4 linked regions of the Struthio camelus genome follow. The protein of the gene in region 2 purifies or fractionates together with the protein of the main gene of each other region. This does not show direct contact. Links are inferred from orthologs where the notes say so. Each region holds a gene or a part of one and is shown on either strand. Other genes may lie near its edges.

What was found.
Region 1: the proteins of EFTUD2 (region 2) and PPIE purify together in Homo sapiens (affinity purification with mass spectrometry; 3 studies listed by BioGRID and IntAct, with this or other methods). This does not show direct contact. The link is inferred for Struthio camelus from reciprocal best matches to the Homo sapiens genes EFTUD2 and PPIE.
Region 3: the proteins of EFTUD2 (region 2) and SART1 purify together in Homo sapiens (affinity purification with mass spectrometry; 4 studies listed by BioGRID and IntAct, with this or other methods). This does not show direct contact. The link is inferred for Struthio camelus from reciprocal best matches to the Homo sapiens genes EFTUD2 and SART1.
Region 4: the proteins of EFTUD2 (region 2) and DNAJC17 purify together in Homo sapiens (affinity purification with mass spectrometry; 4 studies listed by BioGRID and IntAct, with this or other methods). This does not show direct contact. The link is inferred for Struthio camelus from reciprocal best matches to the Homo sapiens genes EFTUD2 and DNAJC17.

Annotation. Positions count from the first base shown.
Region 1 is NC_090964.1:8,126,541-8,134,089, reverse strand, and holds the start of PPIE (peptidyl-prolyl cis-trans isomerase E), read right to left. Parts: upstream 3,015-7,549; 5' UTR 2,952-3,014; coding exon 2,921-2,951; intron 2,839-2,920; coding exon 2,740-2,838; intron 1,776-2,739; coding exon 1,732-1,775; intron 1,278-1,731; coding exon 1,251-1,277; exon of another isoform or gene 948-1,250; coding exon of another isoform or gene 909-947; intron 671-908; coding exon 589-670; intron 155-588; coding exon 54-154; intron 1-53. Other genes in the region: PABPC4 (polyadenylate-binding protein 4), read right to left, coding at 5,119-5,205, 5,295-5,425, 5,550-5,643, 6,309-6,436, 6,988-7,107, 7,280-7,367. UniProt on the Homo sapiens protein: Involved in pre-mRNA splicing as component of the spliceosome. Combines RNA-binding and PPIase activities.
Region 2 is NC_090966.1:726,346-734,313, forward strand, and holds the start of EFTUD2 (116 kDa U5 small nuclear ribonucleoprotein component), read left to right. Parts: upstream 1-4,964; 5' UTR 4,965-5,071; exon of another isoform or gene 5,072-5,143; intron 5,144-5,414; 5' UTR 5,415-5,415; coding exon 5,416-5,520; intron 5,521-6,502; coding exon 6,503-6,668; intron 6,669-7,118; coding exon 7,119-7,197; intron 7,198-7,968. Other genes in the region: CCDC103 (coiled-coil domain-containing protein 103), read right to left, coding at 1-416, 2,331-2,463, 4,100-4,242. UniProt on the Homo sapiens protein: Required for pre-mRNA splicing as component of the spliceosome, including pre-catalytic, catalytic and post-catalytic spliceosomal complexes. Component of the U5 snRNP and the U4/U6-U5 tri-snRNP complex, a building block of the spliceosome.
Region 3 is NC_090976.1:737,766-744,679, reverse strand, and holds the start of SART1 (U4/U6.U5 tri-snRNP-associated protein 1), read right to left. Parts: upstream 3,003-6,914; coding exon 2,600-3,002; intron 1,866-2,599; coding exon 1,811-1,865; intron 743-1,810; coding exon 687-742; intron 591-686; coding exon 464-590; intron 372-463; coding exon 266-371; intron 127-265; coding exon 49-126; intron 1-48. Other genes in the region: amino acid transporter heavy chain SLC3A2, read left to right, coding at 3,902-3,910, 5,403-5,841. UniProt on the Homo sapiens protein: Plays a role in mRNA splicing as a component of the U4/U6-U5 tri-snRNP, one of the building blocks of the spliceosome. May also bind to DNA.
Region 4 is NC_090946.1:4,485,359-4,493,366, forward strand, and holds the start of DNAJC17 (dnaJ homolog subfamily C member 17), read left to right. Parts: upstream 1-4,997; 5' UTR 4,998-5,163; coding exon 5,164-5,241; intron 5,242-6,041; exon of another isoform or gene 6,042-6,130; intron 6,131-7,206; exon of another isoform or gene 7,207-7,235; coding exon of another isoform or gene 7,236-7,274; intron 7,275-7,421; coding exon 7,422-7,491; intron 7,492-8,008. UniProt on the Homo sapiens protein: May negatively affect PAX8-induced thyroglobulin/TG transcription.

The sequences.
Region 1 (7,549 bases), on a different chromosome or scaffold from region 2:
CCCTCCTCCGCTCACAGGAGTCCCTGTGGCTTTGGCTCATTTATTTTTCCTACCTCCTGTGTTTCTGGTTTGGGGGCCTCTGCTGCCCCCTCCTCTGTGTTCTCCTCCAGAGTCTTCCCCGAAAACTTCTTCAGCCAGTCGTCATCCGACCAGACTGCGACAGCAAAAGGAAGGGTCAGAGCATGGGAACCGAACCCAACGGCCACGTGTGAGCATGCATGCAGCTGCGTGGGGTCAGAGCACAGCACGGCCCAGGCAGCGGGATCGCACGCGGGAGCGCTCGGCTGGCAGCAGCCTACCCCAAAAGACAAAGCATGCAGCCACCCACGCCACCCAGGTCAACAGGGAAATAACAGTCAGAGAACATGAAGGCAGCTGGAAGCACAGCAAAGTGTGTTTTCATCAAGGAATCGGGTATTTTTGGTTATTAGGATGCTGGTGAGACCCCCAAATGGGAGGCAGAGCAATACAAGCTGAGGTCTCTGCCCCAGGATCTGGGAAAGCAGAAAGAAAGGCCGATTTTGGAGCAAGCGCGAGGTGCTGACAGTTGTTCACTGGGCTGTGCTCCTCTCGCAAGCACCGACTCACCAGGCCTTGATGATCCTTCTTTAATCCGCATTGGTTTGGCCAGGTTCACACGGATTGTCCTGCCGAAGAGCTCAGATTCATTCTGTAGAGGAAAAAACAAAACAAAGCCCACCAAAAGGTAAAATATCGCTATTCCCTCCAAATCCCTGCAGAGGTCAAAGAAACACAGAACTTCCTTTCTCCCCCTCCTCCTGATTTTGGACTGAGGGCCCCAGACCTTGCAACCAGACCACAGGCAACGGCGAACATGCAAACAAAGCGGGCAAGGACCTGGTCCACAGCAGCGCTCAAGCCCCGGCGCTCGCCCCCCGGGGCCACACCTGAAGCAGCGCCCGCCCTGTTTTTGCAGACAGCTTCATCGACGTTATACACAGCCAGAGCTGCCGCTAAACTTTGCTGGGGTTATCGCCAGCTCGTGTCCGTTCCCAACACTGGCTGCCCAGGACAGCTCGGTTCTGGGGCTGTTATTGTGCTCTCCTTCCCCTCCTGCGAATGGTGCGGTATCAGGCATGCGGAGGAAGGAGATGAGCTGACAGGTATTTCTGAAACAATCTGCCTTGCTCCTACTGGGAAGAGGGCGAAGCCCCACGCTGTGAGGAGAGGAGCAGCGATTTCACTTTCCAAGACAGCATTCAGCATGCAGATGGGAACAGAGCCCATACCATGTTGTCAATAGCTGCTGCAGCATCCTGGGGAAAGAGGGAAAGATCATTATTGCCATTTTTTCTCTTCTTTTCATGTAAGATCCTTGATTGTTTACACTAATATTTGGGAAAGGAGACGAGAGATCTTGCCTAATGAAGCCCACGATAGGTCATGACATCCCATGCTCCAACCAAGCTGAGAAACCCACCCACTGCTGCTGAAGACAAAATGAGCTCTAGGGAAAGCAAGCGGGTGTTTTGGACCAGGAGTGGCCATGCTTCAGCCCAAAAGACAATGGGAAAACTGGGAACTCGGAAAGACAAAACAGCAACTCGACTGCAGCTACTGGAGAATGGCCCATAGCTAGGACAGGCAACCTGTGCCTGCTCAAATCAGCTGCAAAACTCCTGCTGTCTTCAACCAGAGGAGGATCTGGTCTAAAATGCCACGGAAGGAAGAAGAGATTCCAGACTGCTCAAGTATTTGCCCCTTCCTCACCTCTGCCAGCTCAAATTCAATGAAGGCAAATCCTCGGTGCTTTTCTGCGGAGAGAAAAACGAGCAGTCAAAGGGAGCAGGGATAAGGAGGTGTGCCCTGGGATGAAGTAGCGAGCCCCAGAGTGACATGAGGAGACCCAGAACTAGGTAGCCAGCCCTAGGCCCGGGCCATGAGCCCTGGGACCAGGTGGCCAGTCCCAGGATGAAGCGGTGAGCCCCAGGACAAGGTGAGGAGCCCTAGAACGAGGCCGTGAGCCCCAGAATGAGTAGTCAGTCCCAGAATGAAGTGGTGAGCCCTGAGATGAAGTGAGGAGTCCCAGGATGAGGCAGACAGGCCTGGGATCAAGCAGTGAGTCCCAGGACCAGCCAGACAGTCCAGGATGAAATCAGGAGCCCCAGGACAAAATTAGGAGCCCTGGGATGAAGCCACAAGCCCCAGGGCCAGGTCATGAGCCCTGGGATGAAGGACTGAGCCCCAGGACCAAGTAGTCAGTCCCTGGACAAAGTGGTGAGCCCCAGGATGAGGTGGGGAGCCCTAGGACAATGCTGCAAGCCTCAGGATGAGGCCACCAGCCCCAGGACCAGGCTGTGAGTCCCAGGACAAAGGAGTGAGCCACAGGACCAAGCAGCCCATCCCAAGATGGCAGGGGAAGTGGTGAGCCCTGGGATAAGATGAGGAGCCCCAGGAGGAGGCAGGCAGGCCTGGGACCAGGCTATGAGCTGCAGGACCAAAGACAACCAACCCTGGGATGAAACTAGGCGCCATGGGATTAGGGCCGTGAGCCCAGGATGAGGTGAGGAGTCCTGGGATGAAGAACTGAGCCCAAGGATCGGGTGGCCAGTCCCAGGCTGAAGTGCTGAGCCCTGGGACGAAACCACAAGCCCCAGGGCCAGCCCACGAGCCCCAGGACGAGGCGAGGAGCCCTTGGAAGAAGCTGCTGCCCCCAGGCTGAAGCAGGGAGCCCCGGCGAGCCCCCTCCCCGCCGCCCCCCCGCCCTGGACCACGCACCGGTCTCGTAGTCCAGCGGGATCTGGATGTCGGTGATGTCTCCGAAGGGGATGAAGGCGGCGTGAAGCACCTTCTCGTCCACCTCCTCGGCCAGCCCGCCTGCGGGGCGCACAGCGCGTTACCGCCCGCCGCCCCGACCCCGACCGCGCAGCGCCCGCCGGCCCCCGGCCCCGCCGCTCACCCACGTACAGCACCCGCTTGGTGGTGGCCATCTTCCCTCCCCGGCAGCCTCCGCCCGGCCCCTGCCCCGGAACCGCACGGCGGCTCCGCCCCGCCCCGCTGCCGCCGCCGCCGTCGGGGCCCGGCCCGGCCCGGCGCGCCCGGGGCTCCCCGCGGGCAGCGCCTCCGACGTGGAAGGTCCGGTGTTGTGTGTCACACTACCTGATTTCCAAGGGGGATACTTGCATGTTTTACTACCCTCTCCTGCTCTTAAATAAAAATAAAAATACCCCCCCCCCCACAGGACAGGCAGGCAAAACAACATTACAATGCACATGAGAGGTCTTTCTGCTTTTCGAGGACCTTCTCAGGCACAAGTTTCTAGTTTTGCAAGTCCAAATTAAGCCTCAGTTCCACTAGGGAGCAGCCATTCTCCTTTTACAGGGTAACCAAATGCTTTTCATCCCAAAGGATCACCCAAAATGGTTTACAAAGCATTTACTAACCTCACCACCAGAATACAGCCACCTTGTAGAGTATAAAAAAGCCAGATTGTTCTGTAATGACAGAACCACTAAGGAAAACATCCAGCTGAAAGAAGGAAGAATATATGCGAAGAGCAGGAAAGAATTTCTTCTCCCACAGGCAACAAAAAGCGATCCAAACCTCTTTCATGCTCCACTTGAAAAATGCCTCCCACTGCCTTCTATTAGGTCACCACTTGGTTATATTCACCATTTGGACACTAACCAAACCCAACATAATCATCCTGTGGCAGAACTTTAGCACAGTTGCTCCAAAACTGTGATTGTCCAAAGTTAACAAGCAGAATAACTCAATTCAATCACGATTTAACATATCAATCATGTGACAACTGCCTGCCAGTTCAATTTGATAAGTTAATGTGATGCAGCTTACTACATTCTAGAAAAAAGACAACAAATGTAGTGAAAGTTTTTATTCCTTTATTGATAAACGCTTTCCAGACTTTCCAAACTGGATTGTTCAGTTAAAACCAAAACCACAAAAAACTTTCAATCAGAAATCCTCGATGTCCTGCCTAGAAAAGACAAAGGGTAACTGTCCTGACCACAAAGGAAAAGCTTGCAAACTTAATTCTGGTTTTGGAAATCTAGAGCTTCATGGAGCTGGCTTTTTAAATAAGATTGTAAAGATTAATTTACAAAATGCAATATAACTAACTATGTGATATGATGCATGGCACTGAGATTTGCAGGACAGTGAAGAATCTTCAAACATCTTGAGCTGATGTCTAGGAAGGGACTATTTGGCTTCTTTGCATCCTGTAAAAAAAGAGGAAGACAAGTTATCTGCATATGGCATAGTTCACACCAGGCTAGTGAACTATCCAGCGTTATAAACCATAAGGACTCCAGTATAACTTGCAACGAACAGAGAAGTTGTCTTCCTCTTGCGGATAATATCCATTGCTGATGATTTGGTAAGAAATTCACATCTTTCGTGGAGAAGCCAATCACTGGATCCACTCAGAAATTCACTAATGAAATATAAGAACCCTCATCATTCTTTACCATTTGGAGTTGTGACATCTTCCTGTGACATCTGACCAGAACAACTTCACAAAAAGTGCAAGACGTTCATGGTTAAGTCCAGACAAACCCACATGGAGGAATTCATCAACAAAAGCAAAAAGAACCTTCAAAGAATCAAAAATCTTATCCAGAAGTCAAATGAGAGCCAGGACCAAACACAGACAGTGCTTGCTTGGATAAACCTACACAATGAAATGACATTCCTGACACCAGGACTTTAATATATACTGTAGGCAGATGATTGTCAGGATAAGGAACTGGCATTAGCAGTCTATTTAGCCTTGAAGTCACTGGAACATCTTGTGCATCTTTTACCTTTTTTATTTCCTAGATTAGCAGCTTCAGAAGCCTCATCTCAATATATTATCCTTCCTTGACATGCTCCTAGTAGTTGACACTTCAGGAACCTATGCAACATCTTTCTGATACTTAAATACAGTGAGATCTTTGAAGCATACCTCTACAGCTTCTACCGTAACGATTCTCTATTGGAGAAAATGCATCAGTCTTTCAGTCAGTGCTGCACCTGGACCTACACACAGGTTTCCAGACAGGCTGCACACACTGACAATAACGCTTTATGTACTCTGATTTGGGAAACTTTTATCGGAAGCTGAGGACCGGGACACTCACCAGTCTTCCTGGTTTAAGAGGTAGCAGCAACCACGCCCACCTTCTGGGCAGCTTCTTTCTTGGCTTGATGAGCCTGCAACACTGCAACAGCCTCCTCCACCTTGGGTGGACAAGTTATCAAAGTGAGACCTGTTCTCTTCACTAAGGTGCCCCAATCCACGCCCCCTCTGAAGGAACAGGCCAATTTACCTTTGACCGAAGGGATTCTGGAGACTCTAGCATGTGCAGCAGCTCCGAGTTGTCAATCTCTAGCAGCATTCCTGTGATCTTCCCCGCAAGGCTGGGGTGCATAGCTTGAATCAGAGGGAACAAACGCTCGCCTAAAAACAAAACCAACCAAACAAAACAGTTCAGACAGGCTGGCTTCCATCAAACAGTTCTCTGAAACCTGATGGGATTTCCAAAATAAGATGTGATCTGTAAAAAAACAGGAGATTCACTTACCCAGCATCTGTTTCTGCTCCTGGGGAGGTGCAGCAGCCAGCATGGAGGCCGTTAGTGGTTCCTGTCCCTGCACATGTACTGCAGGCTGAGGTGCCTATAGAATGGCAAAGATGAGGATTCAAAAACAGATGCCAGACTGATTGTTTCATATTTAAAGACAAGGCAGTTCTTCCTTCCTCTAAAACATGGCACTCTGTCAGGCCTGCAGTAGAGTCAGTTTCAGAAAAGGACAGATAAGGTGCCCTGTGTTCACAAACACGCTCCAAGTCCTATTCTCAAAAACTAGAATGTCACACAGGGGCACGTAGCTTGCAAATATCCTAGTTATAAAAACTGGACCTTGCATTATAAGGCAAATGTCATGGCAGAGAAAGAGAAACACCCATGTTTGCTTTTTGCACAATGCAGCGGTGTATAGAGAGGCAAGCTGTGCTTTCAGTGATACCCTAGCGAGAATTCAGCAAAGAGATGAGAGAGAGTGAAAGCTAGCAAAAGTGTGAGAGCAAAGAGCCAAGAATAGCAGCCTTACAGCAAATCTGGATAAAAAGGGCTTAGAAGAGTAAGACAGACAAATCAACCAAGTTGCCCCTGGCGGAGGTATGTGACGACAACTGCCAGTTTTCTAAATTCCAGTTTCTGATCCCTGTCGGGACTATAAAAAAGTAGCTTGAAGTTTCTGTAAAAACACTTCAGCTGCGTGTAAAACCTGTTGGACTGTCGTTAACTAGACAGACTTGACAGAGCAGACCACTGCATTACCTGCAAAGACTGTACAGCCGGATGTGGGCTGCGAACACTCGAGGCGTATTTATAAGGAGGAACTGCTCGGGGAGCAGGGGCAGCTACTGGCGGACGAGGAGCTAAATTCTGCGCTGCAGCGGCAACACCTGAAAAGGAAGAGTAGGACAGAATTACACAGCCACAGTAACACGCAGCAAGCAAATTGGGATGTCTGATATTAACTGCTGGACTTTAATTATGCACTGCACAGCCTAATACTGGTTTAGAAACTGGCCTCCAAAATCCAATTGGCTTCTTTAGAAAGGAGCTACCCTCCCTAACACTAAGCCATAGATTCTATATCTGCTTTTAAGACATTTTCTACTTATTCCCTGAAATAAAGTGAATTTGGATGCTTTACTCTGAAACCACCACCCATAATCTACAGAGCCATTTTTGAGCAGTAAGTGTTGCAGAGTTGTAGAGATGAGTTCCAGGTGAAAGGAAAGCAACCCATCTGGATTTCCACTGCTTTGCTGTAGCACCAATTGTCCCCAGACCTGCACTGCACAGCAAGGAACAGGAAAGATTCAGGTGCCGTCTTTGCCCCTTGCTCCAGGCAGCCTTCCGTTATCCACGTCTGATGTAAAAGTCAAGTCTTAATACCATCCCCCTTCCCCATGAATGAGGGGAAGAGCCTGGGAGGCAGACACCTTACCAACTCGCTGGGCAGCGGCAGGGAGGCCACGAGAGGCTGGAGCATTGCCGGCAGGGGCCAGATGGCGCAGTGCTGGCCGTGGTCCAGACTGGCGCATGGCATTTGGCATTCCCTGGAAGCCTAATGGAAGAAAGGAGGGGAAATCCTCAAAACAGAACTGACTGGCAATCACGACAGTCAGCTACAAGCAGCAGGTTGGGGCTCTGCATGGCAGGGAAACTATGCATTGCTCTTGTTGGAAAATACAGCCAAAAGGGTCATACAACCAAAGCACTGTGTCTAGCATGCTCACCTTGAGGTCTCCCCCCTTGCTGCCAGCGTGGGTTAGGTCTCATCTGCGTCATTTGATTGGGTGCATAGTAAGTGGGTCTGCTCTGAGCCTGAAGAGAGATGAGACAAGCTCAGAAGGAACATGAAGTGAATAACAAACATCGTTTGCAACATGCTTTGGCAGTTGTTCCCAGGATTCAACACTCAATTCTCATAAGAGAGAAGGCAGATCAGAAGCCACACAATTAACTCCACTGACTCTGCACCTCTCATTAGGAGCTGTTTGCTTAGT
Region 2 (7,968 bases):
TTTTGCAAACTGGTGCTCGTGAGGTGGGCTTCTCTCTCTGCTTTGCAGTCAGCTGTGCCACTGAGACGGCCAGTGGTCCAGTAATTTCTGTTCATGCTCTGCAGCTTCCTAAACAAATCTCTGCTGCTCTCCTTCTCTGACTCACTGAGAAGATCCACATTCAACCCAAAGCGCTTGGTGTTGGAAAGGCTTTGTAAGATCTGCAGGATGGCATCTCCGTCTTCATGACAGATGTTCTCTGCCAGCACAGTAAGGAATTCACCCAGGAGGCCAAACCCCAGGTCAGCCTGAAAGATTCTGCCCAAGGCCTTGCCTTCAAGTTTAAGCAAAAGCTGGTATTTTTCTTTTCCGCTTGTTAAGCATCTGCGCCAATCTCTGTAAAATTCAGCAGAGGTTCCAGGCAGTTGATCTAGTTCCTGCAGGAAAAAACTGTTTTGTTCCCACTTGAAAATTTTTATCCCCCCTTACCAATCCATGGGTGTCTGACAGACACTTTTAATACAGACTTTAATAGCATAAAGAGGTGCATAAAGCTACTGAGGTGGCAAAGTATGCAGGAAGATAAACAAATATCAGGTTAGACAAGCCCAGAGGAAACCAGAGAACTTCAGAGGGAAAGAACAGAAGAATGGGTGAGACATGAAACAAAGTGTGGAAGATAAGTAGTGGAGTAACCCTAAACCTAGTCAGAACTACTCAGATGAACTGCTGAGCCTGGATCCACTGTCACTGCTCAGGAAGGGATCTGCTGGAGATTGTGGTACTTAGTGAAAACCTCTGCTCCATCTCAAGCACCATGAAGCAAATCAAAGGGACGAGGAGATAAAAGATATGGGATGTAAAACCCAGAAACTGTTCTGATGCCCCTAGCACGCCCTTTCCTTACATACTGCATTCCTACGGGCCTGTGGTAATGTGCTTGGACTAAAAGAAAGAGACATGCTCAATGTGGCATCTCCAGATAAAAGGAAGTCTTTTTTATCCAACATGTAATCAGATTGCTGAACTCATCACTGCCAACTTAACTCAAGCGCAGATTGAAGTAGGATTAAAATGTTTAGGCTTTTATACAGCTAGTGAAAACAAGCCACAGCAATAACAGGCTGTGTTTAAATACAAAATGTAGATGCCCTGGAGATCAGAGCCCAAGCACTAATGAGATTAGGAACAGAATTTCCTCTAGGAGGATCACTGTTCAGTGCAGCCAAATCTAAAGCTGCCTGGAAGAGTTGCAGAAGGATCTCATAATAACAGGCAAATGAGATTCACTGTCAAAAAATTCATGAGATGCTTGTGAGAAGCATCCACGGGAAATATCTCTAGCTACATGTTCAGGGATAGACTCTATTGCAGCTCCCATCCTGCAAGAAATTATCCCTGTCACTGTGTCACTGGGCCAGTAAAAGTCATCATGGATAGTCTTCTGAAAACATCAGCTTATGCTCAGCAGCAGTCAAACTGGCAAAGCCAGTGTGGGGAGTTAGTAGGAAAGCAACTGAAAATAAAACAGAATGATTGCTTTGTGATTGTATAAATCCACAGGGTACCCATACCTTGAATACTGCCTGCAGTTTGCCTACCCTTTTGCACAAAAATAAGCTAGCACTGGCAAAGAGAAGGGCAACAAGGGTGGTTGGAGGTACAAAATGCTTTCTATATCAGAAAGCATTAAACTGACCAGGACTTTTCAGCTTGGACAGAGTCCACTGAAGGGGGTAGGACAGGTGTCAGTTAAATCACAAATGACCGGGACAGGAAATGTTTATTTACTATTTCCCACAACTGAAGAACTAAGGAGCATCCCAGGAACTCATCAGGAAGTAGGTTTAAAACAAACAAAATAGTACTTTTTCACAGCATGCATAATTACACTGTGAGGTGAAAAGGGACAGGCCATATCACAGAAGATATATCATCTGTGGCTATTAAATGTGACAATCCTCATGCACAGACTGGCTCTCAGTCTCTAAACTGCAGCCAGCTGGAAGAGTATGGACAAGGGAGGGCACTCTTCCCCAAGAATCTGTTACTGGCCAGTATCAGAGGTGGGATATTGGGAGCTCTCCTCTGACACTGTACAGCTGGTCCTAGATTGCCAAACAGTTGAAATAGCCTCTTCTTGAAGCAGCTGGTGCAAGTCCTTGTCAGACACAAAATAGGGGCCAAGACTGAACCCTGAAGTTATCTAATTCCAGTATTTCTGGGGATTTTGAGGGCTTGTTCCCAGGTAGAAATATTTTTGAATAACTCTTGCACTTTAAAATAATACCCCACATTATTCCGGAGTAATTTTTAGATGTGGACAAAGTCCCAGAAAATGTCTCCTTCACCTGGGCTATTTCCACGTTGCTGACTTGCTCTCCTTTAGTGTGGGTTGCACAAGGATTCCACAGCAGGTTTCTTTGCTTACCCATTTTGTCCTTTTTCTCTAGAGGCTTCAAGTGTGATGCCAGCACGATATCCCTGCAGGCAACAGAAGAGGAATGGGATATTTAGCAAGATCAAATGCTTCCAGGCTTTGAGTCTCTTCTGCAGTGCCTGCTGTGAGGCTGGCAATTTCTGAGTTTGTGGCATGATACATATCAAACAAGATCTGGATTCAAATCAGATCATGAAGCATCATTGATGGATCAGAGGAAGAGAGAGGATATCGCATGGGGCACCTGGCAGGTACATCTTGCTCACATACTCAGTATTAACCTAATCATCAGGATCAACTAAGCAGGAATTTCCCCAGAGGCTGGACTGCTCTAGAGCACTACGATGGTACCTCCCCAGCATGGGGAACAGGAGCTGGGCATTTCTGACATTTTTACCTTGCCAGAGCCAGGGCCCAAAGAAATGGCAGGACACTTTTGTCCTGCCCTTTTCTTACGGTACACTGAAGATTTTGTCACTTTTAGGCTTTCACGGGAAAGGTCCTAATTTTCTACAGCGCCTAGGGATTGTTTTGTAGTTTGCAGAGTGCTGGACTGGTTATGTTTTTGTGGATTCATTTGAATTCAGTGTCTTATTACACTGATGTCTATGACCACACCAGCCCGGACTCAATGCCTCATGTGGTTCCTTTTGTTTCATGGGATGAACCTCTGTCTCTAGTTAGGCCTCACAATAATTAGCTGGAGGAGATCTTTTGAGCAGTCCCTGCTACTATGCTAGTGAGCCTCTCTAGTAAAGGCACAGCACCCACAGATAGAAGCTGTTCTGTTACCTCCCTCAGATTACTTCTATCTTTAATAATACAGCTGCATTGCAGATTTTGTGGACAGAGTAGGAATGCAGGGTTTTTTTTCCCTATACTTTAACCAACGAATACTACACTGATAGAACTCTGCAGCATAGAAACATGTTCACAGGAACCCTTTTATAGGGACCAGAAGACAGAAGAGAAAATACCATTTCAAAATTTTCCTTCCCTTTCACAGATCTGATAGCATGACTGAATGCATGTGGAGGTGAGACCATGAATGCAATTTGCTCTAGTCATGGATCAGTCTATCAAGGGTGCTCAAGTTCCTGGATCCATCTACAGATCTGGCTGTGGATATCAGTGGGCGAGAACTCAGTGGGGATCAGCTACAGTTGGGGTGGCAATTGGAGCATTCTGTGCTGCCTGCCTCCAAGGAGCTTGCCTGCCATCCCAGGACCATGTTTCAACCCTGCTCAGAGCTCTGGCTGCGTGATGATGACTTTGGGAGCAAGAATACCCTGAGTGGGGTGCTGGGGACCATGTATCACCTTGTCCCTCTGTACTGCCATCACTGCGTGGGGCTGAGAGAGCCTGAGGGGAGGAAGGAGGTCAGGACAAAAACAGTTGGGTGACCACATTAGTGTATAGTGAGCTTAGGCCTGTCTCTAAGAGGTCTCAGAATTAATCACCATCACTCATGGGGTTGTGCTGGCTCTGTGTCAGGAATATCGAGAGCCAAGCACTGGGCACTGGCGAGTTAGAAAAGTGACACTGACCCGCTCAATCCTAATCCCTCTAAACTCGAGGGAATACAGCAGAGGAAGTTAACAGATCTCTGCAGGACATGAAATAAAACAAAACTTCCCTTGAAGAAGGACTTCTGTACTGCGAGGACAGCTTTCGGCAGACCTGAACTCCTCGTAAGATGCCACTTTCTGGTGCACGGCCCGGAACTTGGCGCTGTTTTCCCTCTCATACTTCTCGTCGGCAGCCACGGCTGCTCGCAGCTCTTTCTCCAGAGCGCTGAAGTCGATCGCGCCGTCTGCCTCCATTGTGCACCTAGGAGCAACGGAGAGCGTGGGCCCAGGCTGCCGAGGCGATGGTGGTGGAGCAGCCCCCTGGGCAGGGGGCCAGCACCCGCGGCAGGGCCTAAGCGGCACCCGACACGGGTGCAGGGAAGGGGTCCAGCCAGCGGGCGGGATGGTGGGGCCCCGAGAGGGAGGAATCACCCGCCAGGAAGGAGGCTGAGGGCTGAGGGGACACAGGGACAACCGCTCATATCGTGACAAGCACGATGGGCTGGTTTGAGCCCACAGCCCACTGTGGGGACGACTGCTTCTGCCACGCCAGCCCTGCCGGGCTGAGCACACTGCTGGCCGCAGGGACTCCTGCTAATATCGCGACAGCCCCACTAGGCTGAGCGCACCCCCGACGTCAGGGACACCTGCTGCTATCGCGACAGCCCCACCAAGACGAGCACGCGGCCAGCCTCAGGGATACCCACTCGTACCGCGACAGCTCCACCAGGCTGAGCGCACCGCCGGCGTCAGGCACACCCGCTCCTATCGCGACTGTCGCGACGGACCGGGCTCCCCACCGGGCGCGCGGGCGCCCCTAGCGTCGCCATGGCGACAGGGCAGCGCGGCGAGGCCCCGACTCGGGGCTGCCCCGGACGGCGCCTGACAGAAACGGCCCGCCCCGCCGCGCCGGGCGGCCCGGCCCGGCCCGGGGCTGCCGAGACCCCGCCAGGACCCCCGCGGCACCGCCCGCCTCGGCCCCGCGGCCCTGCCGGCGGGCCTGTCCCGTCAGGCGGCGCGGGCAGCCTGGGGTCCTTGCGGCCTGGTGGCGCGCGGCGCCGGCGGCGAGGGCAGCGCGCGGCGGGTGAGCGGGGCCGGGCGGCCCGGCGGCCCCGGGGCAGGGCCGGGAGCGACACGGGCCTCGCCGGGCTCCGGGGCACGGAGCAGGATGGGGGGATCCGGGGCGGGGCAGGCCGCACCGGGCGAGGAGCCCCGGTGCAGGGCAGAACCGATACGGGGGGCAGTGCAGGCCGTAACAGGCCGGGGGTCCTAATGCAGGGCAGAACCGGGATGGCATCAGTGCAGGCCATAGCGGGCCGGGGGTCCCGGTGTGGGGCAGTCCCGGGGATGGGGTCAGTGCAGGGCAGTGCACGCAGCAGTATCACCACCCACCCGCTGATCCGCGTCCCTGTCCCTCCACCCTGCAGCATGGACACCGACCTGTACGACGAGTTTGGGAACTACATCGGGCCGGAGCTGGACTCTGATGATGACGATGATGAGCTGGGCAGAGAGTCCAAGGATCTGGACGAGGTGAGGGATGGGGATGGGTTGAGCTTTGGAGTCTGGGGGGAGCTTTGCATGCACGCTGTCCTGCCCATTACTCGCCTTGTTCATGCTGGGTGCAAAAAGGGCCGCACGGAGCAGGCACTGAGCCCCCAGCCAAACCCATGGTCATCACAAGCTGCCAGCAATTCCTTTTCCCTGCCAGGCCCTGGTTCTGCAAAAAACTTTCTTCGGTGATGGACTCTGATCCTATTTTATTCCTAATGATAGTAACAGAGTTGATTTAAAAAAAAAAAAATCCAGCAAAAGCTGCATTCCTGTTAGTGTGTTAAAGAGAAAGAAATACCGTTTCTGCTTGAGTCTCTGTTACAATCTTAGGTAGTTCAAGCCATATTTGACTTTGTACTCAATCAGAAGATCCAGATCCTTTCAGTAAGGTCCTTAGGCTGCCTCTTAGTCCTTTCTTAATATACACTAATGCTATGGCAGTATTGTAAGGAGCTCAATTCCCCAGTGATGGGCACAGTGTAAGACACTGTGGACACCAGAGCAGAGATATGGGCAGTGTTTATAAGGACAGCAGAAGGGGGCGTTCTGCTGTGCCATGTCAGTGAAAGGTTTGGAGGAGCTAGGAAGCCCCTCCCAGTCTAGTCTTCCTACAGCTAAAAAGTGGTGTCTGTTGTGTTTGTGAATGAAGGACAAGAGCTGCTCTCCGTGCAGGCATCACTGCAAATGCTGTAGTTTTAAAGGTGGCCTGTGGCTTTTAGGAATGGTGCCGCGGTGGGAAGATTCATCTTGCTTATGGAGATCTTTTCTGCAAATCGCGCTGCAGTTGGTTGCAATATGCCGGGGTTGTCATCATCGGTGGCTCTTTGGCTGTATGTGGGCTTATGGCTTTTTTTTATTGTATGATGCCAAGGCCTATAAGACTTTCTGGGGAGACTGAGGGTTATAAAGCAGTTTGATGCCCTGGGGGATGGCAGCAGCTAAACGTGAGTGTTGGTTGCAGCTCGAGGATGATGATGAGGATGATGATATGGGAGACCATGACGAGGACCACCCTGGGATGGAGGTGGTGCTGCATGAGGATAAGAAGTACTATCCCACTGCTGAGGAGGTCTATGGGCCTGAAGTAGAAACAATAGTACAAGAGGAAGATACGCAGCCTCTCACTGGTAAGTGGTGTAAAGCAGTGAGTTGGGTGTGGAGCGAGGAGAAGTCTCTTAGCAGATCTTTGGAAAAGGGAACATATTACTCCCTTCCATTCTCCCCATTCCCCATGACTTTTAACATCCCTCTTAAAAACCCTCACAGCCTCTAAAATGCATAGACTCTTCCTGTTTGTCTAGCAGTGTCCAGATTTTGGCACTCTGGATTACTGCAAATGCCAAACAAACTATCTTTTGAAGAGCAGACATTGGCAGACACTAGAAGGTTATTTAAAGAGATGTGAAAATATGTTTAAGTCATCTCATTTGTTTCTCCCATAAAAAGATAAAAGAATCTCTCAGCTTGAAAATTGTGTTTCTATCTTCAAAAATCCCCGTTTAGTATTAGCATTTCTGAGAACACTGTTGTTCAGGGTCATTCATAACAATTTTTGTTGTACTTTCTCTTGTTTTCAGAGCCTATTATTAAACCCGTGAAAACTAAAAAATTTTCTTTGATGGAACAGACGTTACCGGTTACTGTCTATGAGATGGAGTAAGTAATATGTAGGGGTTTTAAGGGTGTACTTTGAATCAATCCGTCTGTGCTGTGACTCTCTTGCTTTTTGTTGTTTACAGGCAAAGGTAGAGAGGCAGAGTAGTGTGCGCTATAACGGAGGAGAAAGCTTAGGAGGAGCATTGGGTTTGTTTCTTACTGACACCAGCAATATCACTGTGAGTGCAGCCGTTTCCCCTATTTTGAGGCAAAAAGAAGAGGAAGAAAGCACAAGAGTAACAAATATTTGCCTTGCACAGTATGCGGTGTAGGGCACTAATTTTCCTACCACTAGAACTTAAATCTTTTGTCATTTCTTATCAGCTGGTGTAAACCTTGGCAGTTGGAAACCCTGATGGTATGGGTTTGCTGAAAGCAACTTTTCTTGATTGACACAGCAAAAATTTATATGGCCAGTGTGTTGCACACTTCATATTGATATAGCCGCACTTCATATTGATATAGCCGAAAAGGACATTTTGCTTTGATCCCAAAGAACATAGGCCTACAGCTGTCTCAAATTCATTCCTGTCTATTCTGGAGGAGTTTGCAGGAAGGATTTGTATACCACCACTTGTGCATGAACCACTGCCAAGTTGTGTGTAGGTTAGTATAAAGCTGCAGCTAAGCTGTGCTTCTGCTGCACTTGATGGTATCTGCTGGTTGTACCCTGCAAAGCGGTCCCTGGGGATACCAGAATCTGGAGCAAACCACTCAGAAAAAATTCCAAACAGAAAATTGAGTTATTCTCTCTCAAATCCTATCTAAAAG
Region 3 (6,914 bases), on a different chromosome or scaffold from region 2:
GGTGTCCCCAAGGGGGTCCTGACGTCCCCAAGGGGGTCCCGAGCTCACCCGCTTCCTTCTCATGAACTCTTCCTCCACCAACGTGCTGACACCAAACTCTTGATCCATCTCCTCCAGCAGCTTGGCCTGAAACGGCGCCGTTTCGCCCCGAATTAACCCCATGGTGGGGGCAGGGAGGGTTATTCACCCACCCGGATGCCTGGGTCCCCTCCCGGCACAGGGGCAGGGCACCCCCGGACGCCTGGGTCCCCTTCCCAGAGCTCACCCTCTTCTCCGCCAGCTCCTTCTCCTGCTGCAGCTTGCGGCTCCGCTCGATCCAGGCGGCCGCGTCGTCCAGCCACGGGTCGTCTTCGCCCAGCGTCTTCACTTTCCTTGTTCCGGGGGAAAAAAAGGGGTTCTTGGGGCCGCCCCCACCCGTGTGGGTGCTGCCGGGGCAGAGGCAGGTTGGTGGGGGGAGGCTCACCCCAGTTTTTGGTTGAGGAGCCGCTTCTCCTTGGCGGCCGCCAGCTTCTCGCGGATCTCCTCCCGCTGCCGCTGCACCAGCGGGTTGATGACGTCGGCCGCCACCGGGTCCTCCTTGGTGCCGGCTTCTGGGGGGAAAAACGGGGAAAAAGGGGGCGTTGGGGGGGGGCCAAGAACACAGGGAACCCCTCCAAAGTGGGGCGAGGGGGGCACTTTCTCCTCACCTTTTTTCACAGCGGACACCTCCAGCGGCTTCAGCCCCAGCTTGGCGCGGAGTTTGCTGGAAACGGGGAAAAACAAAGGGGTGAGAAAAGGGGGCAAATATGGGGGTAAATTGAGGCCTGGGGGGCAAATATGGGGACGGGGGTGGTGGAAATGAATGTGTGGGAGCAAACAGGGGTGGGGGGCACCCTGGGGTGGGGGCAGCGCAGGCATTAGAAAAAAATTAATAAATATCATGGTAAGCAAACGCATTTGAAGTGATTTAAGGAAAATTAAAAAGCATTCAGCAGTAATTGCAGAGTATTAACGATATTTGGGGTAACGGGGGAATGCTGGGGTGATACTGGGGGTAACTGGGCAGCGCAGAGCAGTGCTGGCAGTAACTGGGAACATTTTGGGGCCTTATGGGGACTTTTCACAGAACATTCAAGGTTTCTGCAAACATTTGAGGAACTTCACCAAACCTTGGAAAACATCGAATGAATATCAGAGCAAAACAGTGCGGTTTTGGGGTTACGAGCACAGTTTTAAACGGCATTGGGGGAGCACTGCAGAGCATCAGAAAAGTACTGGGGCAACTGAGGAGTAAGCGGGGGGATTTGGGGGTATATCAGGGTAATAACAGCCACTAGAACTTAAACAAGTAACTACTGAGTATTAAAAGTAGCCAAAAAAAGAACTATACGCTAGAAATACTTAGAACTGCACCAGAACAACAGTGGTGAAAATCTGGGCAGCACCAAGAACTTATCAGGAGAACTGGGGGGTTGTTTGGGGTATCGGAGAGCGACCAGGAGTAACGGGGGCAACGCGAGGGGTTACAGGAGGTAATTGGGGTGTCGGGAGTTTGCCAGAGTAACGAGAGTGTAAGAAAAAGTATCAGAAAAGCGTCGGTATAACTACGAGTCGGCTACGATAAATGACAGATATCAGAACAGCACCGGCGGACCCAAGAGTTGCAGGAAATAATCTGAGAGTATTAGAGAAAAACTAGCGTAACCGGGCATTACAAGAAATAATCGGGTGGTATCAGAGCAATATTGGGGCAACTAAGAGTTACAAAAAGTAACTGGGGGCATCAGAGGGGTATTGGGGGTATCGGGGGCCCCGCGGGGCTCTGGCTCACTTGGTCTCCTCGACGCTGAGCGACGACTCGCCCGCGGCGGCCTTAGAGGCGGTGGCTGGCGGGGGCAAGGGGGGTCGTTAGCTAACGAGGGGGATCAGTACCCCGTAACCCCCCCTCCCCAAGCCCCACAACCACCCCAAGGCTCCATAACCGTCCTCAGAGCCCCACAACCACCCCCGAGAACCTCCCGAAGCCCCATCACCACCCCCAAGGACCCCCAGATCTCTACAAAGCCCTATAATGACCCCCCCAAGGACCCCTCCCAGCACCCCCTGAAGACCCCCCAGCACCCCCAAGGACCCTCAAGGCCCCCAATCACCCTCAGAGACGCCTAGATCTCCCCAAAGCCCCATAGCTTCCCCCAAGGACCTCCCCCAGTACTCCTCAAAGCCCCCTAACCACTCCCAAAGACCCCCTAATTACCCCCACCCAGGCCCCATAACCACCCCCAGAGGCCCCCAGACCCCTCCAAGCCCCCTAACCTCCCCTAAAGGTCCCCACAGACCCCCCCCATCCCAAACCCTCAACCACCCCTAGCCACCCCCAAACACCCCCCAAGCACCTCAACCGCCCCCAAACGCCCTCCCCAGCCCCCCAGCCGCCCCCAAACGCCCTCCCCCAAACACCCTCCCCAGACGCCCCCCAAGCCCCCTAGCCGCCCCCAGACGCCCCCCCAAGCCCCCTAGCCGCCCCCAGACGCCCCCCCAAGCCCCCTAGCCGCCCCCAGACGCCCCCCCAAGCCCCCTAGCCGCCCCCAGACGCCCCCCGGGGACCCCCCGGCCCTCTCACCGGGCTCGTCCCGCTCCTCCCGCCGCTCCCTCTTGCCCCGTCGCCCCGCGTCGGGCTCGGCTCCGCCTCGGCCATGGCTGCTGCCACCGCCGCCGCGCCCGGACTCCTCGGTGCCGCCGCGTCGCGACGAGCCGCTGCCGCCGCTGCCGCCGCCGCCGCGCTCGCCCCGGGAGCGGCTGCGCTTGCCGCGCCGCTCGCCGCCGCGGTGCCGGTGCTTGCGGTGCTCGCGGGGCCGCCCCGCCGCGCTGCTGCTGCCGCCGCTACCGCCGCCGCTTCCCCCCGCCGCCGCCACTGCTGCTGCCGCCGCTGCTGCTGCTGCTGCCGGGGCCGCCGCCGCCGCCGGGGCCTCCTCGGTGCCGGCCTCGGCCCCGCCGCGCTCGCGGTGCTTCTTGGAGGAGCCCATGGCCGCGCCGCTCCCGCCGGCGGCCGCTTCCGGGGTCGCCGCGCCGCTTCCGGCGGAAGCCGCGGTGTCTTCCCCGCCCCCTCAAGGCGTCACTTCCTCTGGTGGGCGGGGCCGCGCCGCGTTGCCGTGGGGACGCAGCGGAAGTTGGGGGGGGAGAAGGGGGCAGAGTCCGGTGCCCCCCCACCCCCAGGGACCCAGGCGTCCGGGCAGGAACCGGCAGGACACGTGGAGGCGGGGGTGGGGGGCGGTGTCACCAAAATGGCGACCTCCAGGGCGTCACCAAAATGGCGGCCTCCTGAGGGGGCCACCAAAATGGCGGCTCCGTGTGTGTGCGGAAAACACCACAATGGCGTCTCCGTGGGGGGCGGCGGGGGCCCCAGAAACGGCCTCCGGGGAGGGGAAGGGGGGACCCCAAAATGGTCTCCAAGTTGGGGGCCCCCCCAAATGGTGGCCAAGGTGGGGGGGGTGTCCCCAAAATGGCTGCTGCAAAGGCAAGCCAAGATGGCGGCCCCCTGGGGGCACCCCGAAATGGCGCCCGGGGGGAGGGGCCATGTCCCACCACCCCCAAGGTTTGGGGGTGGGGGGGACCCAGACCCCGGGGTGGGGGAACGCGCTGCGTTTTGGGGCCCCCTCGAGGTTTGGGGTGGGGGGGCCGGGGTGGGGGAAGGGCGGCGCCGCCCCTTCCCCCCCACCCGGCGGGGAACAATGGGGCATTGTCTCGGCGCCCCCTCCCCTCCCCCACTTCCTGCACTTTGATCCTGGCGCGTTGCGGCCGCGGGGGCGGAGCTAGGCCGCGGAGGGGGCGGGGCGAGGGGCGGAGGGGCGGGGCGAGGGGCGGGGCACGGGCGCTCTATATAGAGCCAGCGCCGCCGCTGCCCGTCCCATAGGTGACAGTAAGGATGACGCAAGTACGGGGAGGGGGAGGGGTGGCTCGCTTTTTGAGGGCGATTCCTGCTTTTCGGAGGGTTCCCCACTATTTTGGGGGGGGCCCCACTATTTTGAGGGGAGATGCCTGTTTTTAGGGGAAAAGGGCGCGGTACCCTGCCTGACGTGGGGACCCAGGAGTCCGGGGACCCTGGATTTAGCTATGGATGATTGGGGGGGGACCCCAAATTATTGGGGGTGCCTGATATCGGGGTGCTGGGGGGCATATTGGGGTGCAGAGTGGGGCTCTGCACGCTCTGGGGGTGCCCGGGAGGGTCTTGGGGCACACAGTGGGGCCCTGCCTGGTCTGGGGGGTGCCCATGGGGATATTGGGGTGCCCGGTGGGGGGTTCTCTAGGTGCCTGCAGGGATATTGGGGTGCACAGTGGGACCCTGCAAGGTCTGGGTGCACCTAGGGGGATCTCAGGGTGTTTGGGGTGGAGTCTGGGGGTACCTAGAGATGATCTTGGGGTGCTCAGGGGGATCTCGGGGTGCTCCAGAGGCTCTTAGGGCACTGGGGGGTGCCCAGGTGAGTCCTGGGTGCCTGAGGGGATTTGGGGGTGCTCAGGTGGGTCTGGGGGAGGCCTGGGTGATATCTCAGAGTGGCCAGGAGGGAGACTTAGGGGTGTTCAAGTGGGTTTGGAGATGGTTGGGGAGGGATTTGGGGGTGCTCAAGTGGGTCCAGGGGGATCTTGAGGTGCCCAGGAGTACCTCAGGGTGCTTGGGGGGAATTTGAGGCTGCTCAGATGGCTCTGGGGGGATCTCAAGGTGCTCAGAAGGGTCTCGGGGTCCTTGGAGAGGCATTTGGGGGTGCTTGGGTGGCTTTGGGGGGATCTCGGGGTGCCCAGGAGGCTCTCAGGGTCCATGGAGAGGCATTTGGGGGTGCTTAGGTGGATCTGGAGATGTTTGGGAATATCTCTCCCCTAGAGAAGGGGATTTGGGGGTGCTCAGGTGGGTTCGGGGGGATCCCAGGGTGCTTGGGAGGGATCTTGGGGTGCCCAGGGTCCTTGATGATCTTAGGGTCCTTGGATGGGCATTTGGGTGTGCTCAGGTGGGTCCAGGGGGATCTCGGGGTGCCCAGGAGGATCTCAGCATCCTTGGAGGAGCATTTGGTGGGTGCTTAGGAGGATCTGGAGGTGTTTGGGAGTATCTTCCTCCCAGAGAAGGGGATTTGAGGGTGCTCAGATGGGTTTGGGGGGATCTCGGGGTGCCCAGGAGGATCTTAGGGTCTTTGGATGGGCATTTGGATATGCTGAGGTGGGTCCAGGGGGATCTCGGGGTGCCCAGGAGGATCTCGGTATCCTTGGAGGAGCATTTGGTGGGTGCTTAGGAGGATCTGGAGATGTTTGGGAGCATTTTCCTCCCAGAGAAGGGGATTTGAGGGTGCTCAGATGGGTTTGGGGGGATCTCGAGGTGCTTGGGAGGGATCTCGGGGTGCCCAGGAGACTCAACGCGGGGGCGTCCACCTCACCCGCAGGCCATGGAGCCGGAGGCGGCGGCGCTGCGCGACGTGGAGCTGACGACACTGGACGCCGAGAAGCAGCCGATGGCCGGTGGCGTCGAAGAGAAAAATGGGCTGGTGAAAGCGGCGCCCCCGAAATCCGCTGGCGGGGCGGCGCCCGGCGAGGAGGAGGATGAGGAAGAGGAGGGCGAGGAAGGCGGCGGCGGCGGCACGGGCGCCAAGTTCACGGGGCTGGGCAAGGAGGAGCTGGTGCGGGTGGCCGGGGCGGCGGGGTGGGCACGAGCCCGGGCCGCCCTGCTGCTGCTCTTCTGGCTGGGTTGGCTGGGCATGCTGGGCGCTGCCGTGGCCATCGTGGTGCGCGCCCCCCGCTGCCGGCCCCTGCCCCCGGACTCCTGGGCCCGCCGCGGCTTCCTCTACCGCGCTCCTCCCGGCCCCTTCGCCCACAACCTCACGGGTGAGGAGCAGGGAGGGAGGGATGGGGTAGGGGGTGGCTTGGTGGCACTGTGGGGTGGCTCTGGGTACCCATGGGGTGGCCCTGCAGGATCTCATCCCCATGGGATGGTCAGGGTGGCCCTGGCTCCCCGTGGGGTGGCAGAGGTGGCCCTGGGTCCTCATGGGGTGGCCCTGCAGGGTCTCCTCCCCATGGGGTGGTCAGGGTGGCCCTGGCTCCCCATGGGGTGGCAGAGGTGGCCCTGGGTCCTCATGGGGTGGCCCTGCAGGGTCTCCTCCCCATGGGGTGGTCAGGGTGGCCCTGGCTCCCCATGGAGTGGCAGAGGTGGCCCTGGCTCCTCATGGGGTGGCCCTGCAGGGTCTCCTCCCCATGGGGTGGTCAGGGTGGCCCTGGCTCCCCAGGGGATGTCACAGGTGGCCCTGGGTCCTCATGGGGTGGCCCTGAGGGGTCTCATCCCCATGGGATGGTCAGGGTGGCCTTGGCTCCCCATGGGGTGGCAGAGGTGGCCCTGGGTCCTCATGGGGTGGCCCTGCAGGGTCTCCTCCCCATGGGGTGGTCAGGGTGGCCCTGGCTCCCCATGGAGTGGCAGAGGTGGCCCTCAGTCCCCATGTGGTGGCCCTGCAGGGTCTCCTCCCCATGGGGTGGTCAGGGTGGCCCTGGCTCCCCAGGGGATGTCACAGGTGGCCCTGGGTCCTCATGGGGTGGCCCTGCAGGGTCTCATCCCCATGGGATGGTCAGGGTGGCCTTGGCTCCCCATGGGGTGGCAGAGGTGGCCCTGGGTCCTCATGGGGTGGCCCTGCAGGGTCTCCTCCCCATGGGGTGGCTAGGGTGGCCTTGGCTCCCCATGGGATGTCAGAGGTGGCCCTGGGTCCTCATGGGGTGGCCCTGCAGGGTCTCCTCCCCATGGGGTGGTCAGGGTGGCCTTGGCTCCCCATGGGGTGGCAGAGGTGGCCCTCAGTCCCCATGTGGTGGCCCTGCAGGGTCTCCTCCCCATGAGGTGGTTCTGGCTCCCCATGGGGTAGCCCTGTAGGGACTCCTCCCCATAGGATGGCAGAAGTGGCCTTGGCTCCCCATGG
Region 4 (8,008 bases), on a different chromosome or scaffold from region 2:
CTGTGCTTTTTAGGCAAGACAGGCCAGGAAGGCGAGGTGGTGGAGTTGCCCTTTATGTGAGGGAGCAACTAGAATGTATGGCGCTCTGCCTGGGGTGGGGTGGGGTGGGGTGGGGTGGATGAAGAGCAAGTTGCGAGCCTATGGGTAAGGCTTAAAGGGCAGGCTAACGTGGGTGACACGGTGGTGGTGGGGGGTTTACTGCAGGCCACCCGATCAGGAAGAGGCAGTCGAGGAGGCCTTCTACAGACAGCTGGAAGTAGCCTCACGCTCACAGGCCCTGGTTCTCATGGGGGACTTCAAGCACCCTGACATCTGCTGGGAAGAGAGCCCAGCTAGACACAAAGAGTCGAGGAGGTTCCTGCGGAGCATTGAGGAGAACTTCTTGACCCAGGGGGTGGCGACGCCAACAAGGAGAGGTGTGCTGCTGCACCTGGTTCTAACAAACCAAGAAGGTCTGGTTGGAGATGTGCAGGTTGGGGGCAGCCTTGGCTGCAGTGACCGTGCGATGGTAGCGTTCAGTATCCTAGGAGGAGGAAGCAGGGCAATAAGTAGGACGGCAACGCTGGACTTGAGGAGAGCTAACGTTGGCCTCTTCAGGGACCTACCTAGGGGACTGTCATGGGGTAGGGCCCTAGAAGGAAGGGGCGTGGTGGTGGTGGGGGGTGAGTCCAGGAGAGCTGGTTAACATTCAAGTATCACTTCCAGCAGGCTCAAGACGGGTGCATCCCGCTGAGTAAGAAGTCGAGCAAAGTGGGCCGGAGAGCTGCGTGGCTGAGCAAGGAACTGCGGGCAAAAGTCACACAGAAAGAAGGAAGTCTAGAGAATGTGGCAAAGGGGACAGGCCACTTGGGAGGAACGTAGGGGCGTTGTCAGCGTGTGCAGGGATGCGACAAGGAAGGCTAAGGCCCCTTTGGAATTAAATCTGGCAAGGGATGTCAAGGAGACGAAGAAGGGGTTCTTCAACTACCTCGCTGGCAAAAGGAAGCCTAGGGAAAAAGTGGGCCCGCCGCTGAATGGGGCGGGGGCCCTGGTAACGAAGGCGCTAGAGAAGGCAGAGTTGCTGAATGCCGCCTTTGCTGCTAAGGCCAGCCCTGGGGAATTCCAGAGCCTGGGGACAAGAGAGAACGTCTGGAGAAAGGAAGACTCTCCCTTGGTGCAGGAGGATGGGGTTAGAGCTCGCTTGTGCAAACCTGACAGCCACAAACCCATGGGCCCCACTGGGATGCACCCCGCCCCCCCCCCCCAACACACACACCCCCGAGTGCTGCGGGAGCTGGCGGATGTTATTGCTAGGCCGCTCTCCATCATCGTGGCAAGGTCCTGGAGAACAGGAGCGGTGCCTGAGGCCTGGAAGAAAGCCAGCGTCACGCCAGTCTTCCCAAAGGGCAAGAAGGAGGAGGCAGGAACCGCCAGGCCTGTCAGCCTCACCTGCATCGCTGGAAAGGTGATGGAACAACTCCTGCTGGAGGTCCTTGCCAAGCACGAGGAGGACAAGAAGGTGAGCAGGAGTAGTGAGCATGGCTTCAGCAAAGGGAAGTGATGCTTGAGCAATGTGCTAGCCTTCTGTGTTGGAAGGACTGGCTGGGTAGGTGAGGGCAGAGCAGTGGCTGTTGTCTCCCTGGACTTCAGCGAGGCTTTGGACGCTGCCTGCCATCACATCCTCCCAGGTGAACTGAGGAAGTGTGGCTGAGATGAGTGTGCAGTGAGGTGGATGGAGAACTGGCTGGCTGGCAGAGCTCGGAGGGTGGTGGTGAGTGGCGCAGAGTCTAGTTGGAGGCCTGTAGCTGGCAGTGTGCCGCAGGGGTCAGTGCTGGCTCCAGTCTTGTTCAATGTCTTCCTCGAGGAGCTGGAGGAAGGCACAGAGTGCCCCCTCAGCAAGTTTGCTGATGCTCCAAAGGTGAGCAGAGTGGCTGACACACCAGGAGGCTGCGCTGCCATGCCGAGGCACCTGGGCAGGCTGGCGAGCTGGGCGGAGAGGAACCTGCTGCAGTTCAACAAAGGCAAGGGTAAGGTGCTGCACCTAGGGAGGAAGACACCCCTACACACACACAAGCAGCAGGACAGGCTTGGGGGAGGGAGGGAGGGAGAGAGAGTAGGGGGCTGACCTGCTGGAAAGCAGCTCTGCAGAGAAGGAGCTGGGAGTGCTGGAGGACAACAAGTGAAGCATGAGGCAGCAATGTGGCCTTGTGGGGTGTGGCATCCTGGGGTGCCTGAGGAAGAGTGTTGCCAGCAGGTGGAGGGCAGTGCTTCTCCCCGTCTCCTCAGCCCTGGTGTGGCCACATGTGGAGTAGTGGCTCCAATTCTGGGCTCCCCAGTACGAGAGAGAGAGAGAGAGAGACATGACACTACTGGAGCGAGTTCAGTGGAGGGCTACAAAGAGGATGGGGGGAGAGGGGGACTGGAGCATCTCTCCTCTGCAGAAAGGCTGCGAGAGCTGGGCCTGATGAGCCTGGAGAAGAGACGACTGAGCGGCGATCTCATCAACGTGTCCAAGTATCTGGAGGGAGGCTGTCGCGAGGATGGGGGGCCAGGCTCGTCTCCGTGGTGGCCAGTGACAGGACAAGAGGCAACGGGCAGAAACTGGAAGCCAGGAAGTTCCATCTGGACCTGAGGACAAACTTCTTTCCGGAGAGGGTGACTGAGCACTGGACCAGGTTGCCCAGAGAGGTAGTGGAGTCTCCTTCGCTGGAGCTATTCAAAACCCACCTGGAGGCGATCCTGGGAAATAGCCTGTAGAGGACCCTGCTTGAGCAGGGGGATTGGACTAGATGAGCTGCAGAGGGCCCTTCCAACCTCAACCATTCTGTGATTCCGTGATTCTGGAGGCACAATCTCTCCTTCTGGCAGACAGCACAGGAATGTTCAGTGGTAGGCAATCCATATTGCAAAGGAAAGTGATCCAAGCAGTTTTACTTCCCCTGTGCTGGCTCTGGCACAGACTGGATGAAATGCACGCAGAGAGCCCCTTTTCGCATTGGAACTCTTAGAAAAGAGCTATGCATTTTAAAAGCCTCATTAGCACTGTGAGAGCACAGTAGAATTACCTGAAGTGAACACGTAAGACCAGGAAGTTTGCCCTTACAGCTCCAGTCCTGAGCATCAACTAAGATCTTTCAGTTTGACTCCATGCTGGACCACCCTGTACCGCTTTACAGATGAAACCCAAATCCCAATCTGTTTCTTGGAAAACATGAAAGAATTACACGAACAAATTCTCTGAGGAGGGAAGACAGTGTCCCATCACAAAAAGCCAGTCCCTCTGTTGGTGCCGTATTCTCCTCTGCTACTCACCTTTCTCTGGGTGCTAGCCTCTGAGTGCTGCCATCTCTTTGCAACTTCTAGGACCTTTTCCTTCCTCATGTTCTTTTTTTGCAATTCAGCAGCAGCCCCTGCCAGAAGTTTTTTCTTCTCTTCCTCTAGTTGTTTTGAGTTCAGACTCATGGGGCAAACCTTAGCTTCGCTTTTCTGATTGAGATCATTCAAGATCCGCCAACACCCAAACAGAACATGCTGGTGACTTGATGTCAGCCTTCCCAGGGCACAGCCAACATCAATAATGCAATGGTATAAAAGCAGCTTGTGGCTCTCTTTTAATTGGGGTAATAACAAGAGAAGGCATGCCACAGCAGGATCTAGACTGTACATAGACAGCAGCAAGTTCACTATTCTGTAGTTTACAGTGAGATAGCAATGCAAAGGTATCCCAGGTCCTAATGTGTAATAACAGAGCACAGAATGGTGAGGAGTAGCAAAAGGTCCTCCCTGGGGAAGGATCACCTTACAGAACTAGAGAGGAGCAATCCAAACAATATAACCTTGAAAGGAAGGAAACACCTCCCAGGCAGAGATAGCAAGAACCACTCTGGAGCTCAGTGGCTGCTCTTGGTTCATTTGGGAGCCCTAAGGTGAGGAGAAGGACCAACAGGACACCTACTCCTTCTATAAGCTAGATAGGGAAGTACATGCTCCCTTCCTACTATCACACCCACCCACCAGATGATAAAAATAGATCTTTGGAAGCCAAAACAGTAACAGTCCTTCAGTGGCAAAGCCCTCAGCCAGCTCAGTTAGCAGGACACCCATCTGCTGGGCTAGGCTTCTAGTATCAGGGGATTGGTGTACCTAAGAAACAAGGAAGAGGGCATGGGAAGAAGGCAATGAGAGGAAAGGGGGAAAATTAACTCAAAGCAAAATATGGGTAACCAAGACTGGCTTAATGGAGGCTAACATATAAAGATGCATCTACTGATCTTGGAAGTCTTGGCTTCCGAGTATTTAGTATGAGACTTTCAGGATTCAATTCTCAGAGGTGTTGAATGCCAACTCCTCCAACTGCAGTTGCACAGGTAGGGAAAGAGATACTGAAAGTGGAGGATTGGGTGCTGCTGAGTCCCAACGACAGCTCTGTCACTGCCTCCAATGTGAATAAATCGTCATTTTCAGCAGTGCCAGCCAGCAGTTCCCACTAACGTTTCCGGGAACAGCTGGGTGTGCAGCACTGCGGGAAAAGGAGAATGAGGTAAGAATTTCTCAGGGGGAAGGTCATTCACCATAGCCTCGAAGGCACAGACCCAACTCCTTCTTTTGCAATCTCAGGCTGCCCACTTAAGCTCTCTGCACTTCCTTTACTGGAATAATTAACAGGATTCTGCCCAAAGATGTGAAAACCGCGCCTTGGCCCCAGCACACTGAGCAGTCCAACCACGCAGCGCATGCAGCTCTAGTGCTTTCCGGCATAGCTTGCTGTACCAGTCACACACCTCTCTGCAGCCTGACTTTACGTCTGGCCTCACCCACCGGTGGCGCAAGGCCCGGCGGGAGTTGTAGTCCCTCGGCCGGTAGACCCCACTTCCAGGCGCCGCGCGCTCTTCCATGAGCGAACTACACCGCCCAGCGCACCGCGCCAACGCCCCACTATCCGCGCCATGCCTGCTGGGAGCGACCAGTGCGCGCCGAGGCACGGACGGCTTCCCGGCCTGCCGCGGGCCTCGCGGTGCGTTGTGGGACTTGTAGTCGAGCTGTCGCCCCCCTCCCATTCCGTCACGCCGGTACTGCGGCAGCAGGGGGAGGGGGCGCGGAAAGACTCCATTTCCCGGCAGGCAGCGCGCGGAGCGGGCCCGAGGTGCTCGGCAGCAGCTGGAGGAGAAGCCGGTCGGTGAGGAGATGGCGGTCGATAAGGATGTGTTGCAGCTGGACCTGTACGGCCTGCTGGGAGTCGGGGAGAAGGCGTCGGAGAAGGAGGTCAGGACCGGGGCTTCCGTGGTGCGGGACCCCTCTGCTCGGCGGCTTCAGCTTTTCTGCTTTTCACGCAGTAACGGAAGTTCCCGCCGCTTCATAAGGGGAGGAGAAGGCTGGGCTTTGGGGTTGTGTGCTTGCGCTGCTCCCTGCATCGTCAGTGCAGCGATGATCCCGAGCGCCGTTTTAACGCGGTGTTGCTGCTATGGGCGCTGCTGCGTTTGTAGTTGGCGTGGTGCTGCGTTGTCGCCCGTTAGCTGCTGGCTGCTGCACTTGTTAACAGGACAAAGAACTCCTTTTTTTTAATGTTGGCCTGGCTGTGCTCAACTGACGCTTCTGTTTTCTGGTCTTAAGTCTGTGGAGGGAGACTTGGTTTTGGAAGAGGATGAAATCAGTTGAAATGAGTTGCAAACTTCCAGTTAGCCTCAGCCAATATTTATTCTATGTTGTTTGTTTATGTGCCTTCAGAAGGAAGGCTCCTCTCTGGTGTTTACAAAAGAAAAAAAAACTCAGTTATTAGAGATCGTTTTTAGCTACTGTAGGTCCTCATCAGATATCTTACTAATTTTGTGCTCTTTTAAAAATTACAAGTTCCTATTTTTTCTCTAATTAAAGAGCTAAGTCAATGCTATAAATACCTGAAGGGCCTACACGATTAAATGGGGAAACTGGCTGACCTATTCAAGGGCAGTAAGACTTGCTAAGTAAAACTATTACTACCTGAACAAAGTTTAACTTAAAAGAAAAACTTTATTTTCCCCTGTTAAGTTCCCTCTCTCTTTCTCTCTTTTTTTTTTTTTTTTAAGCAGTAAAGAGCATTAGAAGAACAGTTGAGTAAAACTTGGAAGTCTGGGTCTGTCCAGCAATTGTATCAGAGGCTGCCTGGAAATTCCAGGTACCATAAGCATGAAATCGGGAAATAAGCCAAATATAAAACACAGGATTGAGTGAGATGAAAGACTTCAGTTGACCTCAGCTTTGCTGCTGAGCTGCTCAATGAGGGAGGAAAAAAAAAAGTTACAATTTGAGTGTTACAGTACAACTTAAAAATTGACAAGTGTAATTTGGAGTTCTACTCCTTGGTATAAAATACTTGAAACAACTCAGAGAACTATGTTCAGAGAAGCATCCCCAAAAGAGCTGAACAAAGGGGAGCAAAGCTTACTTAATCTTTGCCTAAAGAAATCTAACTTCTCTGTTTAGAGAAGCCTTAGCTAAACTTACTGTATAGAACAGTTATTCAGATAGTTGTGAATGATGCATATGAGAAGACTTCCCTCTCTTTGCTGAAGTCTTACCTGTGGAGGATATAGAATTAGGCCTATGATGTTTCAGCTACACATTTACCTTCCCTTAGTGTTGTCCACCAGGTGGTGCCCAGCCACCACTTATTTCTTTCAGTCGAATTAAGGCTGCTTGGCAGTTGAACAGAGCAGCTTTTTTTGCATGCATATGTTCCCCCTGATAAAGAGAACTCAAATTGTTAAAAGCCTCTGTAGTGACTTAGCCCATAAAGTTGTCAATTTAACTTTGAAGTGTAGAAGAGATTAAGTAGTCTTTGGTCAAAATTTCTTCACCTGCCAAACTCAATTTTTGTGCAGTGAATTGCACATACTCTGTCCCAAATAGCTATAGCTGCTAAGAACACTGTATGCCTCTGACTGGGTAGAAAACTCTGCCTCAGTGTATTAGATTTGGTCTTGATGATCATGACTGCTGTGGCACAATGCACCTAAAAGTAAAACTTCTGACCTTAAAAAGTTTAAATTGATTGAAAATGTAGCTGTCTCTCTACTAAATGTCCTGGACTCAAATGGTTATCCTTTCAGTACTGTGTGATAAAAAGGGCAGGTCACTGCACTGAAGTTGAAAATTGAGTTTCAGTATTCTCTTGCTATTACAGTAGGCGCCTTCATTTTTTGTGTTTGAGGGACTAATGGCACTCCAAAAATGGTTTTTATTTTCTATCAGGCCCGGGAGACTTCTAGCCATGCAAATGAATGTTGGCTCAACTACAGTCTTCTGCTTATGATAGAGAGGTATGTTTTAAATTGAGCAAAAGCAAACAAACAAAACCTCTGAGTAGGATTTTTTTTTTATGTTTCTGTGGTGCATTTTTCCAAGTTGTGTTTCTCAGAGCAGACCAAACAGTACCAACTGACAAATCTCTGTTCTGGCTCTTACAGGTTAAGAAAGCATACCGCCAGAAGGCCCTGACTTGTCACCCAGATAAGAACCCGGACAATCCCAAAGCAGGTAAGACTGGAACATATGAACACAAACCAGTGTTCTTGTCTGATCCACATGTGCAGATTCCTGGAAGTGGCTCTATTTAACCTCAGGTCTGTCTTTGCATGCAGTTAAGGGAATACCTGATTTTGTGTCATGTGATGTATACACATGCAGGATTAAGAGTTATATTTCTTGCTCGTTTCCTCTGGGTTTTAAGATTAAATGCATGCATGTTGGCTTTCAAAAGCGTAAGTGTTAAGTGAATGCTGAAATTTTATTTGCACTTCTCAAAATCCTTCCATCTGGTACTTGAATCCTGGACCTTTGGCCATATTGTCACTGATGTTAGCTGGCTAGTCATTCTTCTGAGAATCGAAACTTTAATAGCAAGCTTATAAATCATTGTTATATATGGGCAATGCCCATTATTGTCTGTTAGAGAGTAGGCCCTGACTCTGTGCAGCTGAGTACACCTCAACTGTTAGCAAGGTCTGTGGATTCTACAGCTTCTCCATTTGTTTTGCAACTACCGGCAGGTGAA